Linked DNA regions of Coturnix japonica. The protein of the gene in region 2 interacts with the protein of the main gene of each other region in a pairwise test. Links are inferred from orthologs where the notes say so. Each region holds a gene or a part of one and is shown on either strand. Other genes may lie near its edges. The genes, in order: RALB and EXOC2.

Region 1 (3,065 bases), on a different chromosome or scaffold from region 2:
AGTTCTGACTTCTTTTCTTAGTAATGCTCAGTTAAGCTGCTATTTCATCTTTTGGTATCTAGCATAGGTAAAGTAATCTATGATTTTTGGGTGGACATATCAGAGTGATGACTTCTGAGAGTCTTCTATGCAGCAGGACTTCCTGTGCCTGATACTGCCACTCTGAATGCTGCAGCTCTTTTAATTATGAAACAGGCAGAATATTATACAGCAGGGTATGTGCTTGTAACCACTTAGGAAGGACTGAACTAAATACTGGATGCTTGAGTTAGCAAGTATTTCCCAGCAAATAACTTATTAAGCACAGAGCAATATTATCTTGAGCTCTGAATGCTACTTTTGTGCAAGAGCAATATTCAACAAAAAGCTCTTGAAACAGAGCTGCTGAGTGACTTAAGTTACGATAGAGTCATGGAACAGTCTTGCTTCTTGCTACTGCTTCAGGTACCATAATTCTAATGTTGAATTTATAGCTGGGATGTGTCCAGATTTGATTCTGCTGCTAGGTACCTTGTTGTACTGTGTCACTTATGTGCCTAATAAAGTAGCCTGGATCTGTTTTTAGGTGGCAGAACTTGTTTAATCTTTTTTTTTTTCCCCTCTAGGTATTCTTTGATTTAATGAGAGAAATCAGAGCAAAGAAAATGTCTGAAAACAAAGACAAGAATGGCAAGAAAAGTGGAAAGAACAAGAAAAGCTTTAAAGAAAGATGTTGCTTACTGTGATGCTTGGGAACTGTGTATATCTATCTACAAATGGCATGGATAAGATACCACTAAGGATATAGGGCTGGATTCATGAAAGGAAGTCTGTATTGACTCCCTTATCTCTTGCTTTGCATATCATACCTTGAAAATGTGAAAACAACTTTGAAACCATTTCTGGTATCCAACAAAACCTATGCCTACTTAAACTGAATTGTCTCTGTCTTCCCAGTGTCTTTCAAAACTAGAAACTATTGAGGTTTTAGAACTACAATCACTCTATTTGGTTATACGAAGTTCTTTCATATTAACTTCCTGGTTTAATGTCTCAGAATATGTTTCTTGAACCTCTACTGGCCTTAACAAGCACAGCTGTTCAGGTTCAAACAGTTCTTTCACTGGTGCCCTTCTTAATGTTGTAAACTGCAGACAAGCTGGATGACAACCTGTCAGTTTGTCTCTGTTTTCTGCTAGTGGTTACTGAGTTGTTACGCTGAAATTTGCTGGTTTCCTTCCTACCCTCCACTTAAATAGCAACTGACACTTGAGTCAACCCAAAACAAACTTTCTTCCCTGTTCTGTTTAGTCAATATGGCATTCATGAATCAAGCCTATGGACTCAATTTGGACTTAATTAGGAAATACAATATTGGCTTTCCCTGATGTTCTGTCTTCTCATCCTTAAATTAGAGTTAGGGGGTGAGAAAATGACTAAGCTTTTCATCAGAAGGAATAGTGTTGCCACGGTCTCCTAGAAGTGCAATCCTGGATTTCTTCCATGTATTGTGGCTATTACACTCATTCTGCATTGGTCATTCATCGCCTTCCTGGTACTGGAACAGTGAAAAATCAGTGTTCATCAGTTTTGTTTATATTGGAAAATGTGTGATATGTTGGGAAAGTGGGATCATCTGTTTCCTGCTGGAATTGAAAGCTGAGTAAGGGTGGCTCACATCACAATCATGACTTGGACTAGGTGAGGCGTACACGCTACCTCTCTGATTAATTGGCTAGTGAGTCGTGTGGTTGCAAAAAGTGAATGAAGTGAAACAGTTGCCATGTCTGTTACTCACTGTTAATTTTATATGTACTGTTTCTGACGCATAGCAACCTAGCACATGGAGATGCACGTTGGTTTTGCTGTCAGTTATGCAATGGTGGTCATGTTTTAATCAGCAAAAGCCCGCTTAGAAATGGAAGAGAAGTCAGTACTTAGCAGGTCTTGTCAGCTGACTGAACTGTGATTTCTGATGCAGTTTAAACTAAGTGCAGTTGCCAAAAAATACTTCTGTTGCTGTTGTAGAATGTAACCGTCTCTTCTGTTTGTGGAGTCTCTCAATGAATTATGGATATTTTCTATTTCAAAGGAGTAGACAGACTTGAAGTAGTGACTGTACCTTGCTTTTTAACCAGATGCTTAAAGCACTGTTGGTGGAAAGGTGATGCTGTGTGGTTGTTCAATGAAGCTCACTGCAGCACTAAATTAACAAATACTGTTTCTTGAGGTGAAGGAGTAGCAAATACTGTTCAGTACTTAGTATTGTAATTTGAGGATGAAAAACATTTTTAACATGTACTAGATTGCTGTTGTGCATTCCACCTCCGAACTTTGGGGAGAAAAAGATGTTAGATATCGGAACCTCTGTTGGTCTGAGGTTTTTACAGGGATTTATCACACTCATTGTCTTCCGTAACTAGTTTAACTTGTCAGGCAACTCATTGGACTGGGGAAACTGTACTAAATAAAAGGTGCTGTAATCTTCCTTCATGTGAAGTTTAATTCATTTTCTGTTAATGTTCTGTGCACAGGAAGAATGCTTCATGAAGTTTGGAAATTATTCTTTGAATAATATAATTGGTATAACAAAGCGAACTGAATATAGTTCTTGAGGCAGAGGCTGGGAGCTTGATGGCTTACAGAATTGTATGAGCTGTACCACCTGTGTCCAAAGCCTAAACACCCAGTGGGACACACAAAGCTGTCTAAAGCTTCTAAAAAGACTTCCTCTTGAACTTAAATTGACTCTATTTTTGTGTGCATGCTGTATCTACAGCATGTGAATGTCCACTTCTAGAGGCAGACCACTTGCTTAGGTTTGGCTTTAGTTGAGACCTAAAGGTTAAGTCCTTAATTAACCTAAAGGATAAACAATGGCTGAGTTCACATTACAAGCTTACCTAGGTCAAGCCCCTCTCAGGCGGATTGTAGAATGTGGCTAACAAAACTGAATAAGCTTTCCTTGCTATATGAATAATGAACTCAACAAAGCTTACAATGAATACCTCAGCTGTTAGCTCATTGACTTCCATGTGTTGTCCTTTGACCTCTCTAATTATAACATACCTGATAATATTTGGTAG
Region 2 (4,377 bases):
TCAGCTTGCTTATAAGTACAGCACCAGATGCCACTCATACTAAAAAGCCCCCGCGGAAGATAAATTCAGAGTAATACATGCAATCTTTTGAGCATTATTTACCAGTTCTTCATTCTGAACTGAAGTACTACTGATTTCTTCCATGCAAAACATTCATGCGCCTTTTTTGCATAATTAAACTAATGCACAGACAGGTAATAAATATCCACTTGTGCTTCACGGGCTTGCCTCGTTCTGGAGAATAAAAGCATAGTTTAATTCATGTATTCTTTCATTCGGTGGCTGTCAGAGCCTGTATGTTCAAAAATAACTTTTAAATACACACTTCTGTGATCATGCTATTCAGGTCTTGCTCTTTTCGCCTCCCTTAAATGGATTCAAAGGGAAAGCAGAAAAGCCCAGATGAAGAGAATCAAAAGTAACACACAACTGATGATTAGTTTCAAGTACAATGCTCAAGACTTTCTGGATTTACAGCCAGCCATATCAAACTGACAGAAATTGATTAAGTAGGGTTTAACATAACATATCTCAAGCTTTCATCGCTAAAAGAGGTCAGTGGCCTCTGTTTCTTGTCTACCACTTAATGTGCTTCAGTGCAGTTTCACTTTGAGGAGTAGCATCATGAACAGACCGTATCAGTGGATGCTATTTCATGGGACCTTGGGAAACTACTGGTGAATCACATTTTAACATCTTTAATATGTGTGTGGTTTTTTTTACCTCAAATATTCTCAGCATGAGGAATCCTACAACTCAAAACACTAAGACCTGAATATCACAGGTCCAAAAACATCCAACTGCTTCACCTCTGATAAACACTAAGAAAAATTAAATTTTCCATACAGGGAAAAAAAAAACCAACAACCCGACTTGCCACCAGAAGTTAAATTAATGCCATTTTCTGTGAAATAAATCACACTAGTATAACGAAAATCATTGCATCCTGTTTAAAACAACAGAACCCCCGGTTAAGTAAAAACACTGTTGTCCAAGGGTGGGCATAAATCACAAACCCTGTAAACTAAGCGATCCATGGGAAAGAAAGCAGCAGCTTTCGGCTGCTCCTTGCTGGGTCAGTGCAAGCTGTGACAGACACTACGGCGATAGGGAGCTAAGAATTACAAAGCTTTTCTTCAGGGGAGTAAAAATAAAGCAAGCAAAGCAGGTTGGATGTAAAGGTGACAAGTTTCACTTGCAGTTTATAATTAAAAAACGACAGCCAAAAAAAAAACAAACCTCAGAAACTATTGGGTGTCAGCCCTGCCCACGGGAGAGGGCTGGAACTGGATGATCATTAAGGTCCCTTCCAAAGGAAGCCATTCAGTGATTCTAACTGAATTTCTAGTGATTTCTAATGGTTTGAACACTCCATCAAAAGGAAAAAGAAAACCCCGGTGCAGTGAAATACATACAGGTCTTAAGGAGGGGGGGAAGCGTTTGCAATCAGAAAACGAGGAAAAACAATGTGAGATTAGAATTTTAAACTACATCACGTATCAGAGGGTTTGAAACTAGATGAACATTATGGTCCTTTTCAACCCAGACCGTCTATTATTCTTTGAATGGGCGTTAACAGCTTAGACTTGACCTGATGTTCTGCCAGACTAGGAGGGCTTATTGCTTCGCTGGATGTGAATTCAAAGCGTTTGAGTGTTTGTGTTAGAAGCTGTTCATCTAAGGAGCAAACAAGACACAGGTGGTAGGAAACGCCAAAGAAATATATAAAAGAGGGAGAAAAGGCAACAGCTTGGAAGAAGCGCTATTTTGAAAGCCGGGACAGAATGTCAGGGTCCCTATTGGAAATGCAACCATCCCCACGTCCAGGCTGTTCCCCTCAATGAGAAACCGCGTTGCAGTTCATTTTAATCACACAGAATCACAGAATGACCCGGGTTGGAAGGGACCTCAAGGATCATGTAGTTCCAACCCCCCTGCCTAGCAGGGCCACCAAACATACACATTTACTACATCGGGTTGCCCAGGGCCCCGTCCAACCTGGCCTTGAACACCTCCAAGGACGGGGCATCCACAACCTCCCTGGGCAGCCTGTTCCAGGGCCTAACCACTCTCCTAGTGAACAACTTCCCCCTAACATCCAACCTAAATCTTCCCTCTTTTAACTTAAAACCATTTCCCCGTGTCCTGCTATTGTCAGCCCTTTCGAAGAGTTTACTCCCCTCCTGGGAGTAAGTTCCCTTCAGGTATTGAAAGGCTGCAATGAGGTCACCCCGCAACCTTCTCTTCTCCAGGCTGAACAAACCCAACTCCCTCAGCCTGTCCTCATAGGGAGGTGCTCCAGCCCCCTGGTCATCTTCGTGACCCTCCTCTGGACCCTTTCCAAAATCTCTATGACTTTCTTGTACTGAGGGCTCCACACCTGGACACAGTAAGCGAAGTTTTAAGCGCCCGTGCCTCTCCCGGCCTACTTCCTGCACAGCCCTCAGCACACGCGGAACCACCTCACGGTAACCAGCAAGGCCGGTCCCATATGGCACTACCTGCCCCCCAGCACAGCACGGAGCCCCACGGCCCGCAAACAGCCGCCCCGAATCCCTCCCGGACTAGGGGCGGGGCGGGAGAGCGCCTCGGTCTCCCCCCCGGGATGGGGACGGTCTCCGCCCCAGCGCAATGGGGGAGGACCGGGGCTGCCCCGCTGGGAGCCGGCTCCGCAGCGCCCGGCGGAGGAAGGGAGGGGCGGGAGGCCGCTCGCTGTCACTCACCGGCCGCCGCCGCCGCCGCGCTCGTATCCGGCACCTGGGGCAGCGCCGCTCCCGGCAGCGCCTCCGCGTCCGGCGGGAGCAGGCACCGGCAGCCGCCGCCCGAAGACATCGATGGAGTGTGGAGACATCGAGAAGGGGCGGCCGAGCTGCGGGCCCCGCCTAATGAAGGCGCAAGAGGCGGAGTAGGCGGCCTCCCTCGGGTTGGGAGCGTCTGCTCGTAGAAGCTCGGAAGTGGGGCAGTACGAAGCTCTTCTACTGAAGTAATATTGGTAGCAGCAGCAACGGCAATCGTAATAAATAATAATAAACTCCACGCTCTTGTGATGCAGCACAGGATGGTGCGGGGGTGCGTGGTGGTGCAAGAGGAAGGCACTGTGCCCTTGAGTCGGAAGGACAGGTTCCTACCATCTCCTGTCTCCCAGAAGCATTGCTTGTGTCCTACAGGCCTGGTTGTGGGGCCTCTAAATGATCGTCACACCTCTCCTGTATCTGTGGCATGGAGGGTTTGGTGTTGAAATTTCAAGTGTTGGTTCTCCTGCTGCCCCTCAGATGCAGGTGTGCTGGCCCTGAGTATGCTTGGGGTTAGAGCTGCTCATTCCCTAAAATGCCTGCAATGCCACATGGGCAACACCAATGGGTATTCTCACCCATCAGGCTCACTGTTGGGTGGAGGACGATTGCAATGTTTTTCACGTCATCTGTACAAAAAGGAGACTAACTTTTCTTCAGAAATGGAGCAAAGCAAAGCTGTGCAATTCCATTTCTTGGCTCAGCTTTTATTTCAGGTTGTTCCCCAGCAGCCCGACCCCCTGGGTAGTGTCTTTCCGGCACCGCTGCAGGGCTGCACAGAAACAGGACGCAGCTGTTACAAGAGCTGGCGGTAGGCAGGCAGCATGGGCAAAGCTTGGTCGTGCAAATTCGTGCTGGTTTCCCACTGAAAACATGGGGTGATTTCTTATCAGACCATCTGTCTGCATGAGGCACCTCTGAACAGAGGCTCTTCTTCCTTTTGGAAAGGAGACATCCTTTTTCCCTTTCTGCTGGAATTGTTTGGAGGTTGGTTGCGAAAGCCAAGTGCAAATGAAATCAGAATGGAAAGCAGATAAAAAGCAATGAGGGAGAAAACAGAAAGGAGAATCAGTTTCTCAGTTTTGCCAGTCCAGGCCTAGATTGAGACATTAGTTGGAAATATCTTTCATAAAACCTCAAAGAACGTAAGCGCTATAAAAAACATCATGGCAAGGAAATGTCATTTCCCACATGTTTTGGTTTTTTTTTTTTTCCCCTGGAGGTGAGAGCTGCACAAGGTATATTATAGGCTGTAATATCTCAGTGGATGAATATACAGCTCCTTACTGACTCTTCCCTCTAGCTTTAGTTAAATAGTCACACGGCATCTGCCTGAGGAACAATGAGAGACTTCAGTGTCATGCTTTTCACTAATTAGCTCCAAAGTTCTTACTGGTGACTGAGCACTTTTCTGTTAATACCCAGTGCAGAAAGACAGTTCATCTGTCCTTCAAGAAAAAGTAGAGGGGAAAAAAAAGTACGACTCTTTGCCACCCGTCTGAAGAAGATGTTTTTCCTTCTTGACAACTTGTTTGCATTTTCTCATTAAAAGCCTGTCACCAGTTGTGCCAAATAAAACCACGAC

The links.
Region 1: the proteins of EXOC2 (region 2) and RALB interact in a two-hybrid assay, tested with the Homo sapiens proteins (2 studies listed by BioGRID). The link is inferred for Coturnix japonica from reciprocal best matches to the Homo sapiens genes EXOC2 and RALB.

The regions. Positions count from the first base shown.
Region 1 is NC_029522.1:21,379,671-21,382,735, reverse strand, and holds the end of RALB (ras-related protein Ral-B), read left to right. Parts: intron 1-605; coding exon 606-725; 3' UTR 726-2,472; downstream 2,473-3,065. UniProt on the Homo sapiens protein: Multifunctional GTPase involved in a variety of cellular processes including gene expression, cell migration, cell proliferation, oncogenic transformation and membrane trafficking.
Region 2 is NC_029517.1:61,951,536-61,955,912, reverse strand, and holds the start of EXOC2 (exocyst complex component 2), read right to left. Parts: upstream 2,845-4,377; 5' UTR 2,724-2,844; intron 2,523-2,723; exon of another isoform or gene 2,502-2,522; intron 2,471-2,501; exon of another isoform or gene 2,381-2,470; intron 1-2,380. UniProt on the Homo sapiens protein: Component of the exocyst complex involved in the docking of exocytic vesicles with fusion sites on the plasma membrane.